2 linked regions of the Canis lupus familiaris genome follow. The protein of the gene in region 1 interacts with the protein of each later gene in a pairwise test. Links are inferred from orthologs where the notes say so. Each region holds a gene or a part of one and is shown in the gene's direction. Other genes may lie near its edges.

What was found. The genes of interacting proteins can lie anywhere in the genome.
Region 2: the proteins of TRIM42 (region 1) and YWHAQ interact in binary tests that used the Homo sapiens proteins (3 or more experiments, as listed by UniProt). The two-hybrid records come from large-scale screens. The link is inferred for Canis lupus familiaris from reciprocal best matches to the Homo sapiens genes TRIM42 and YWHAQ.

Annotation. Positions count from the first base shown.
Region 1 is NC_049244.1:37,247,404-37,251,248, forward strand, and holds part of TRIM42 (tripartite motif-containing protein 42), read left to right. Parts: intron 1-3,247; coding exon 3,248-3,845.
Region 2 is NC_049238.1:6,702,214-6,706,218, reverse strand, and holds the start of YWHAQ (14-3-3 protein theta), read left to right. Parts: upstream 1-1,205; 5' UTR 1,206-1,359; intron 1,360-1,750; 5' UTR 1,751-1,814; coding exon 1,815-2,108; intron 2,109-4,005. UniProt on the Homo sapiens protein: Adapter protein implicated in the regulation of a large spectrum of both general and specialized signaling pathways. Binds to a large number of partners, usually by recognition of a phosphoserine or phosphothreonine motif.

The DNA of each region.
Region 1 (3,845 bases):
TGCCTGAACATATGAGTGGGAGGCAGTTTTTCTCTGAGCTGCACAGAGGTCCTGTTGGACATAGAAATGGGTCAGAGATGGACTTTGCTAACTCTGTCACCTAGTACCTCTCCCTAGCATAGATATTTCTGGAATACCTTCATTTCTCAATTACTTCTACTAGGAGACACTGTTTATCAATTGATATTTATTCAGTTTTAGAACCACCACCAGGGAAGTCTCTATATTAAAGAAACTCTAAAGGAGCCACATTGCCAAGTAAATGGGTAGCCCCTTTAGTTCCTAATGGGTTTTCTTAAGGTTTTCTTAACTCCCTACCTTGGCTCAGCTAGATTCTCTGGGGCCTCAGCATGGGGAAAGGACTGCTGCCTACAGTCTGCTGTGGCCCCCATGCAACCACAGGAAGCCTGGATTTTTAACACAGGAGAAACCCAAGGTAGTTTCTGAGAGTCCAGGGCACCTAGGAACCAGACAATGAAATTCAATTCAGTGTAAAGGGACACCAGTACAAATTCCAGAGAGCCCAGCAATTGGAAGGAGACAGGGGTCACCTTCAAGGCATATCCATTTATATGTAGGTAAAGAATTTAACCCTGCCTATCCTTGCTAAGGGAACTACCACTACCCACACCCACCCACCCCCCCATTTTTGTAACCAGGGTTCAAACTTGCTCTTAAGGACTCAATTCACTTTTGGGGAAGGTGCCATAAATCTGCATTTTAAACAGATCTTCAGGTAATTCAAAAGCAGATGATCTGACAATACACTGAGAAACTCTGGGCCTGGGAGGGAAGATCAAGTTTGGGTCAATTGATTGAACTGTGGTGTTGATCCCAGCTGCACATTGGAACCACCTGGGGAGCTAACTAGGACCAGCAACAATGGCACCACTCAGGAGCCCGTTAGGCATGCAGAATCATAGGCCCCACCCATACTAATTTCATGTGAATCTGCATTTTTAACAAGATCCCCCCAAAATTCCTTGAATTAGATTCTAATTTGCAGCAGCAAAATGCCTCATCTGGATTCCTGAGCCCCAACTCAGGCCAACTCAGAATCTCAGCAAGTGAGGTCAAGAGAAGAGTTTTCTTTAAAGTTCCCTAGAAGGGGCATGTGGGTGGCTCAGGTTGTGATCCCAGGGTCCTGGGATCAAGTGTTGCATCAGGCTCCCCATAGGGAGTCTGCTTCTCCCTCTGCTTCTCCCTCTCCCTATATCTCTGCCTCTCTGCCTCTCTCTCTCTCTCTCATAAATAAATAAAATTTTTAAAATAAAAAAATAAAGTTCCCCAGGGGATTTTGGAGCTCATAGAGGGCTGAGAACCACACTGGAGCAATTCAAAACATAGCCTTTGGAGTCAGACTTATAGAATTAGAGATAGGACTTGGTCTCTCCCATTTACTAGCTGTGTGACACTGGACAGTAACTTAACTTCTTGGAGCCTTAGTTTCCTCATCTATAAATGGGAACAATATCTTCCTCATAGGAAGATACGTGTTGTATATGATAATATAGAGATGTGATCCATAATATGTGTATCATATAGGTCTGGTCTATAATAAATGGTTAACAAATAATACCTACTTTTAAGAGTATTGCCTGAAAGAGATCTTGATTTAACTTTGCTCTAGGACCAGCTCTTGGAAAGCTGTCATATTTGTAAGATGGGGGAGGAGTGCTTCTGGCCTCCTCTTTCTTTTCTCTTGGTGCTGCCTCTTTCCCCCTCAACTAAGGAATTTTTATCCTACCTCTCAGGAGTTTACACAAACTTAATCCCTAATAAAGCAAGGAATTTCCTACAAGTTTCTTTGGCAGTGAGTAACTATTGAATAGTCAAAGAAATGAATGAATAAAGTTGAATTTCAGCTGCCATAAGCCACAGTAGAGTTTGCATCAGGGGAGAGCAGGAAGCACTTCTCAGCACCTCTGCAATCACCTGATTGTTTCCTGTTCAGCCCCCATCTGTATCGCCTCCTCATTCCTTCTGTGCCAGCTTGAGGGCAGAGGAAACGGCAGCTTCACAAAATAGGCCAGAGAGTGACATTTACCCTAAAGATGTTAAAAAACAGGACACATTGACTTTCACTGAATAAATACCTTTCAAGCCCTTCTACACATCCTAGTCATAGTGATAACCAAGACAGCAGTCACACCGGTTCTCATGGCCCAAAAGGATTCCTGAGTTTCTCTTACTCAAATGCACATCATTATTCCAATGGCCACCACCCACAAAAGTCCAGCTTACTCTGCACCCGGGACAATGTTAAGAACCAAGTACAAAATAATTCTTGGGCACCCCTACTCCTGAGTAAAATTTGGTGAGAATTATAGCCCATCAATTCACTGCAAAGTTGGCTGTTCAGGATAAGATCTTACCTTTAGGCCACAGAAGGTTGACATGTCTTCACATAGCTGTTGCTGCCTGATGCCTAAATCACTGTAAAGCCAACAAAGGTGCTCATTTCACAGAGATGTGCCACATACATTCTGTCTTAGCACCCTCTATACTGTAGTATCATCATATTTATGAGTGCCTTGAGCATCAGTGCCCTTTCATATTCATATCTGTATCGCTATTACCTTGGAAGGCATGTGACATGAAACAGGTGTTTAGTGAATGTTTGTTGAATGCCTAAGTGAACCTAAAATCCAAAGCCACATAAGAGGATACAGGAAAAATTAGGTTCTCCTTGAGTGCAATAGCAGACTCTTTCTTGGAAGGAAATGGGGGCAAGGCAAGAGAGGGAGCCCGGCTGATTTCCTCCTGTTATCTAGGGCTAGGTTTTTGGTGAATGAGGCAGGCGAGGCAGCATTTAGAAGTTGTGAGAAATTTAGTTCTTTCTCTTGCCCCTGAAGAAGCTTATTACCTTTCACATAGGGAAAACCATCACCTCTTCTCAAGTCCAATATGGTGACAAGAGAAATCTGGTAAAAATTCATATCAAGGGTGGCCTTGGACTTTCCATTTCAACCCAGGGCCACCGAAATTAGATATAACTATGCCAAGAAAGAAAGGCTGTTATTCCTGAGGGAAGTATTAGATAAGGAGGCCGAGAGGGGGGTCCTGAGGGAGGCCAGATACACCTCATAAACCTGTTCTAGCCTAATTCAGTTCAACTACAAGAGGCTTCCCTCCCTCTCTGCCCACTTTCTCGTGATCCATGGGAAATTTCTCCAGTCTGCCATCGGCTTTGACACCTGGGGAGATGAAAATTTTAACGAAAGTAACTAACCTGGTTGTTTTGCAGTCCGCTATGAGATTGATAATGACCTAATGGAGTTCAACATTTTAAAAAACAGCTTTAAAGCTGACAAGGAGGTGAAGCGAAAAGAGATCCGAAATGGATTTCTCAAGCTGCGCAGCATTCTACAGGAGAAGGAGAAGTCCATCATGGAGCAGATAGAGAATCTGGAGGTGTCTAGGCAGAAGGAGATTGAAAAATATGTGTACGTCACAACCATGAAAGTGAATGAAATGGATGGCCTGATCGCCTATTCCAAGGAAGCACTGAAGGAGACAGGCCAGGTGGCGTTCCTGCAGTCTGCCAAGATTCTCGTGGACCAGATCGAAGATGGCATCCAGAGCACCTATAGGCCTGACCCGCAACTCCGGCTACACTCCTTGCACTGTATGCCCCTGGACTTTGCTGAGCTCAGCAGTGCCATCCATGAGCTCTTCCCCACAGGACCCAAGAAGGTATGCTCCTCAGGGGACTCCTTGCCCTCCCACTATCCCATGCACTCAGAAATGATGATGGCCAGGAAGGTTACTTTCAGCACTCACAGCTTCGACAACCAACAGATATACCAGCGAAGCTCCTCCTTGTTGTCCTTCAATGCCACGGG
Region 2 (4,005 bases), on another chromosome or scaffold:
AGACGTGCTAGAACTGGAATCGTAGCAGTGTGAGCCCAGATGGCAATTTTCATCTTAGGATGGCACAGAGGCCTCTTCCCAGACACCCAGGACGGGCTACCTTATGTGCCAGGCACTGGCAAAGTGCCAGGAGAGAAGGGAGTGGCTGGAGGGGTGTGCCTAGTTTTAAAGAGGAAAGAAAGTGCTAGAGATGACCCCAATACAAAGCATCTGGGGCAAACTTTCTCACTTCTCAAGAGTGTGAACAGCAGAAAGTCCAGGAGAAAGTCAAAAGTGAACATCGAGGGAGACAAGTTTAGGTTTTCACGTGTGCTCTGAAAAATAATACTAGAAAACAAAACCCATATACACATAAAACGAGATGGAAAAAACATGTATTTAGATGCATAACCTGCAAAGACGAGGAAGAGATATAACAACAGCTGCTTTGGGCGGGGAGGGGTGTTGAATGTGTGTTTTTCTCCAAAACATCCTGACTGTCAGAATAAAATTAGAATATCTGGCCATTGCCCGAGAGACCTGCCTGGACTTTCTTGGGGGTTTTACAAGAGAATTTTAGGTTTTGGGTGCCCGCCTGAAAACTCGAGTTGATCACGAAGACACATTCTTAAGCGACTTTCTCCTGGAACAAATTCCTCTTTAACGGGGATGGGATTATTTCTAATTCGCAGCTCCAATCGCAACGTCATTAAAGGCTGCGTTCAGCGTCTGGAGCTCCAAACCTTTGTCACGAATGGGAAGGTGGAGGAAAGAAAGGGGCTTGTGCAACCAAAGAGCCGCTTAGGTCAGCCTCGCGGGTCCTCCCCGCCAGGGCCGAGTGGAGCCGCGGCTGCATTAGCCCGCTAGGTGCAACGCACTAGATGCAATGCACGATCTGCAGCGCTGCTGCAGCAGGAGACGCTGCTACGGCGGCAGAGGTGGTGCGAACCTCCCGCTCCCGTGCCGCACCCACAAGCGCTGGGGGTGGCGGGGAGGCTGAGGGGAGTTGGTAACAGCATCGCCATGGCAACAGTGACGTCCTTTTACCCTGGATCTAATTGGAGGAAACCCCGTGGCCGAAGCCGCAGCCTGCCGGCCAACCGAACTTGCCCAAGCCGACCCACCCTCCTAGCCTCCGCTTCCCCTCCCGCCCCGCCCTCTTTGCCCCCTTCCGCGCGCTCAGCCTTCATTGGCCAGCCGCGGAGCCGGAGGCGGGACTCCCGGGAGCAGCTCGGCGCGTCATTGGGCGACAGGAGCGAGGGCCGCGGCGCGGCGCCCCGCCCCTCGGCTCCGGGGTAGGCTGAGACGGGAGGGTCCTCGGCTAAAGCCCAAAGCGGATCAAAGTGGTGGGACTCGCGCCGCGGCCGCGGAGACGTGAAGGTGAGCGCCGCGGTCGCCCCGGGTCGTCCCCGGTGGCCGGGCCCGAGGGCAGGGCGGGAGGCCGGCCCCGCGAGAGTGGGCGGCCTCGACGCCGCGCTCCTCGGGTCGGCTCTGGCGGCAAGGTGTGGGCCAACGGCCGCTTCCATCTTGGGCCGGGCGGGCGCGGGCGCGGGCGCGGCCCTGCCTCCCCCCACCCCCGAGCCGCGCGGGCCGCCTCCGCCTCCGCGGGGGGCGCCCCTCGGCCTCCCGGGCGCCGGCGGGGAGCGTGGGCGGGGGAGGGAAATTCAACTGGGCGGCGCGTGCGGGGACGGACAAAAGGGGCGGCGGGGCGGGCGGCCCGGGGCGGCGGGCGCATTGTCTGAGGGCGCCGCCCCCGCCTCTCCGCCCGCAGGCCGTCCGCACGCCTCCTCGCGATCCGGGTCGGTGCTCGCCCTCGCTCTCCTCTCCGCGTCCCCATGGAGAAGACGGAGCTGATCCAGAAGGCGAAGCTGGCCGAGCAGGCCGAGCGCTACGACGACATGGCCACCTGCATGAAGGCCGTGACGGAGCAGGGCGCCGAGCTGTCCAACGAGGAGCGCAACCTGCTCTCGGTGGCCTACAAGAACGTGGTCGGGGGCCGCAGGTCCGCCTGGCGGGTCATCTCGAGCATCGAGCAGAAAACCGACACCTCGGACAAGAAGTTGCAGCTGATTAAGGACTATCGGGAGAAAGTGGAGTCCGAGCTGAGGTCCATCTGCACCACGGTGCTGGTGAGTCCGCGCTCGTGCGCGCTCGTCCGAGCTGCGCAGGAGGGAAGGGGTGGCGGGAGCCGGTCCTTTTGTGTGTGAAAGCCTTTCATTGAGAATTTCACGGGGACGGGGAAAGAAACGTGGGCCGGGGCTTGCCTGATTGTCTGCGGACGCGTGGACGGTTGGAGATGTGGTTGTTTCGCTTCGTGAGACTCAAAAAGCTGCTTTTCCAGGGCGGGGTGGTGGTGGTGGTGGTGGTGGTGGGGAAGCAGATCTCTGCCCAGGTGATGGGCTGCTCCCGAACCGTGCAACTTTGAAACATCCAAGTAGGTCTGTGCAAGACTGAACATCATTTTCATCCGCGGGCTGAGATCTCGGAAGCCTTGAAATGTGCGGCATCAGCTCGCAGGCTCCAGCCTTTTCGAACGAACGTGCAGGCACCTTTTCGATAGAGACACTTCTGCGTGGAATAGGTTTTCCTCGCAAAGCTAGTAACGGGAATTTGTACTTCAGAAATCTGAACAGGTAGCTCATCTTTCAAGCAAGAGTATCCGTGGAGCTTTTCCGTACTAAAAAAAAAAAAAAAATCAGTGGAGGGGGTGGCGAGAGTTCTAGTTCTGTAGCTGAAAAAGGTACAGATAAATCTAAAGGACAGAGTGTCCTGATAAATTTCAGTATCTGGTAACATTTTCTTGCTATTACTTAGTTACACTTAAACGCTAATGTATCAAATCAAATTCGTTTCTGGAGCAGGCAAGAAAGCTTTCCAGGTTTCAAACTGTCCAGTCTTAGCAAGGGTGGCTATTGGGTGGAGTAGGTAACTGCTCTGATTCACTCTTATTAGTGAGAACATTTTTAGCTTTGTCATGGCATTGGATCTTTTGATCGGTAACAAGTTTTTAAATTTTAAATGCTATCATCATATCCCGGAGTGTTATTCTTAAGTACCACTTTTACAAAAGGCCTACTGAATTTTGATGTTTTAGGAGGGCTTGAAAGGCAAGCATGCTAGATTGGTGATTATTCAGGAAGGAATAGAAGAGAAAATGCCTCTTTCCTTCCCGACCTTCCTTTCCCTGCCCCATCAGATAGGTGCGGCAGGAAAATTTTTTCTTTTCCTTTTTTTTTTTTTTTAGTTCTTGAAGGTAGTTTTATAATACAAAGAATGAGTGATCTGGTCTGAATCATGGCTACCGGAGATAGGAGGTAAAGCGGCAATGCGGAGAGTGTACTTTATGTTGTATTTATAGGTTTCTTTAGCTTCCACTCCCTGCCTGGCATTGAGGAGGCACTTTGAAAGCTTTTTGAACTGAATTGCTGCCACTTGGCTTCAAGAAATTTCCCAACTTGAAAGTGATGGCAGACTTAAATAGCATATGGTAATGGTTATTGACAACATAGACTTTATTATCAAGGGAAGACTCGTACAAATTCCATATGTTAAGGAGAAGTTTTTTTGTGTGTGTATGTGTAGTAGTTTGGTGGCTCTCACGGCATTGTTTCATCCTCTTTCTGTTCAGTTATTACTTTGCGTTTTGTTACTTACCTTGCAGCAATTCAGAATTACCACAGAGCTTTTCCTGTTTTCCAAAAAGCAAGTGAACTCTGGGTCAAAGGAATATTTGTTTTATTTTATGGTTCTTAGAAATTTAGTTTTTATGATGGCATGAGGAGAAAAGAGTTTTGCTTTGTTGACAAGTGACTTGAAAGAGACACTAAGTATTCTAGACTTTCATACAGATCATTTCAATAGGAGAGAACCCCTGAAATGAGGACAATTTTTTTAATATACCAAGTGAAATAAAGTTTAGTTTGATTAGTTGGAGACACCAGGGTGTAAGTAAAGTGTTTTTTTTCTTTTTAACAAAATTGCTTAAGTAACTAATTTAGATTTGATGGCCAGGCTATAAAGAAATCC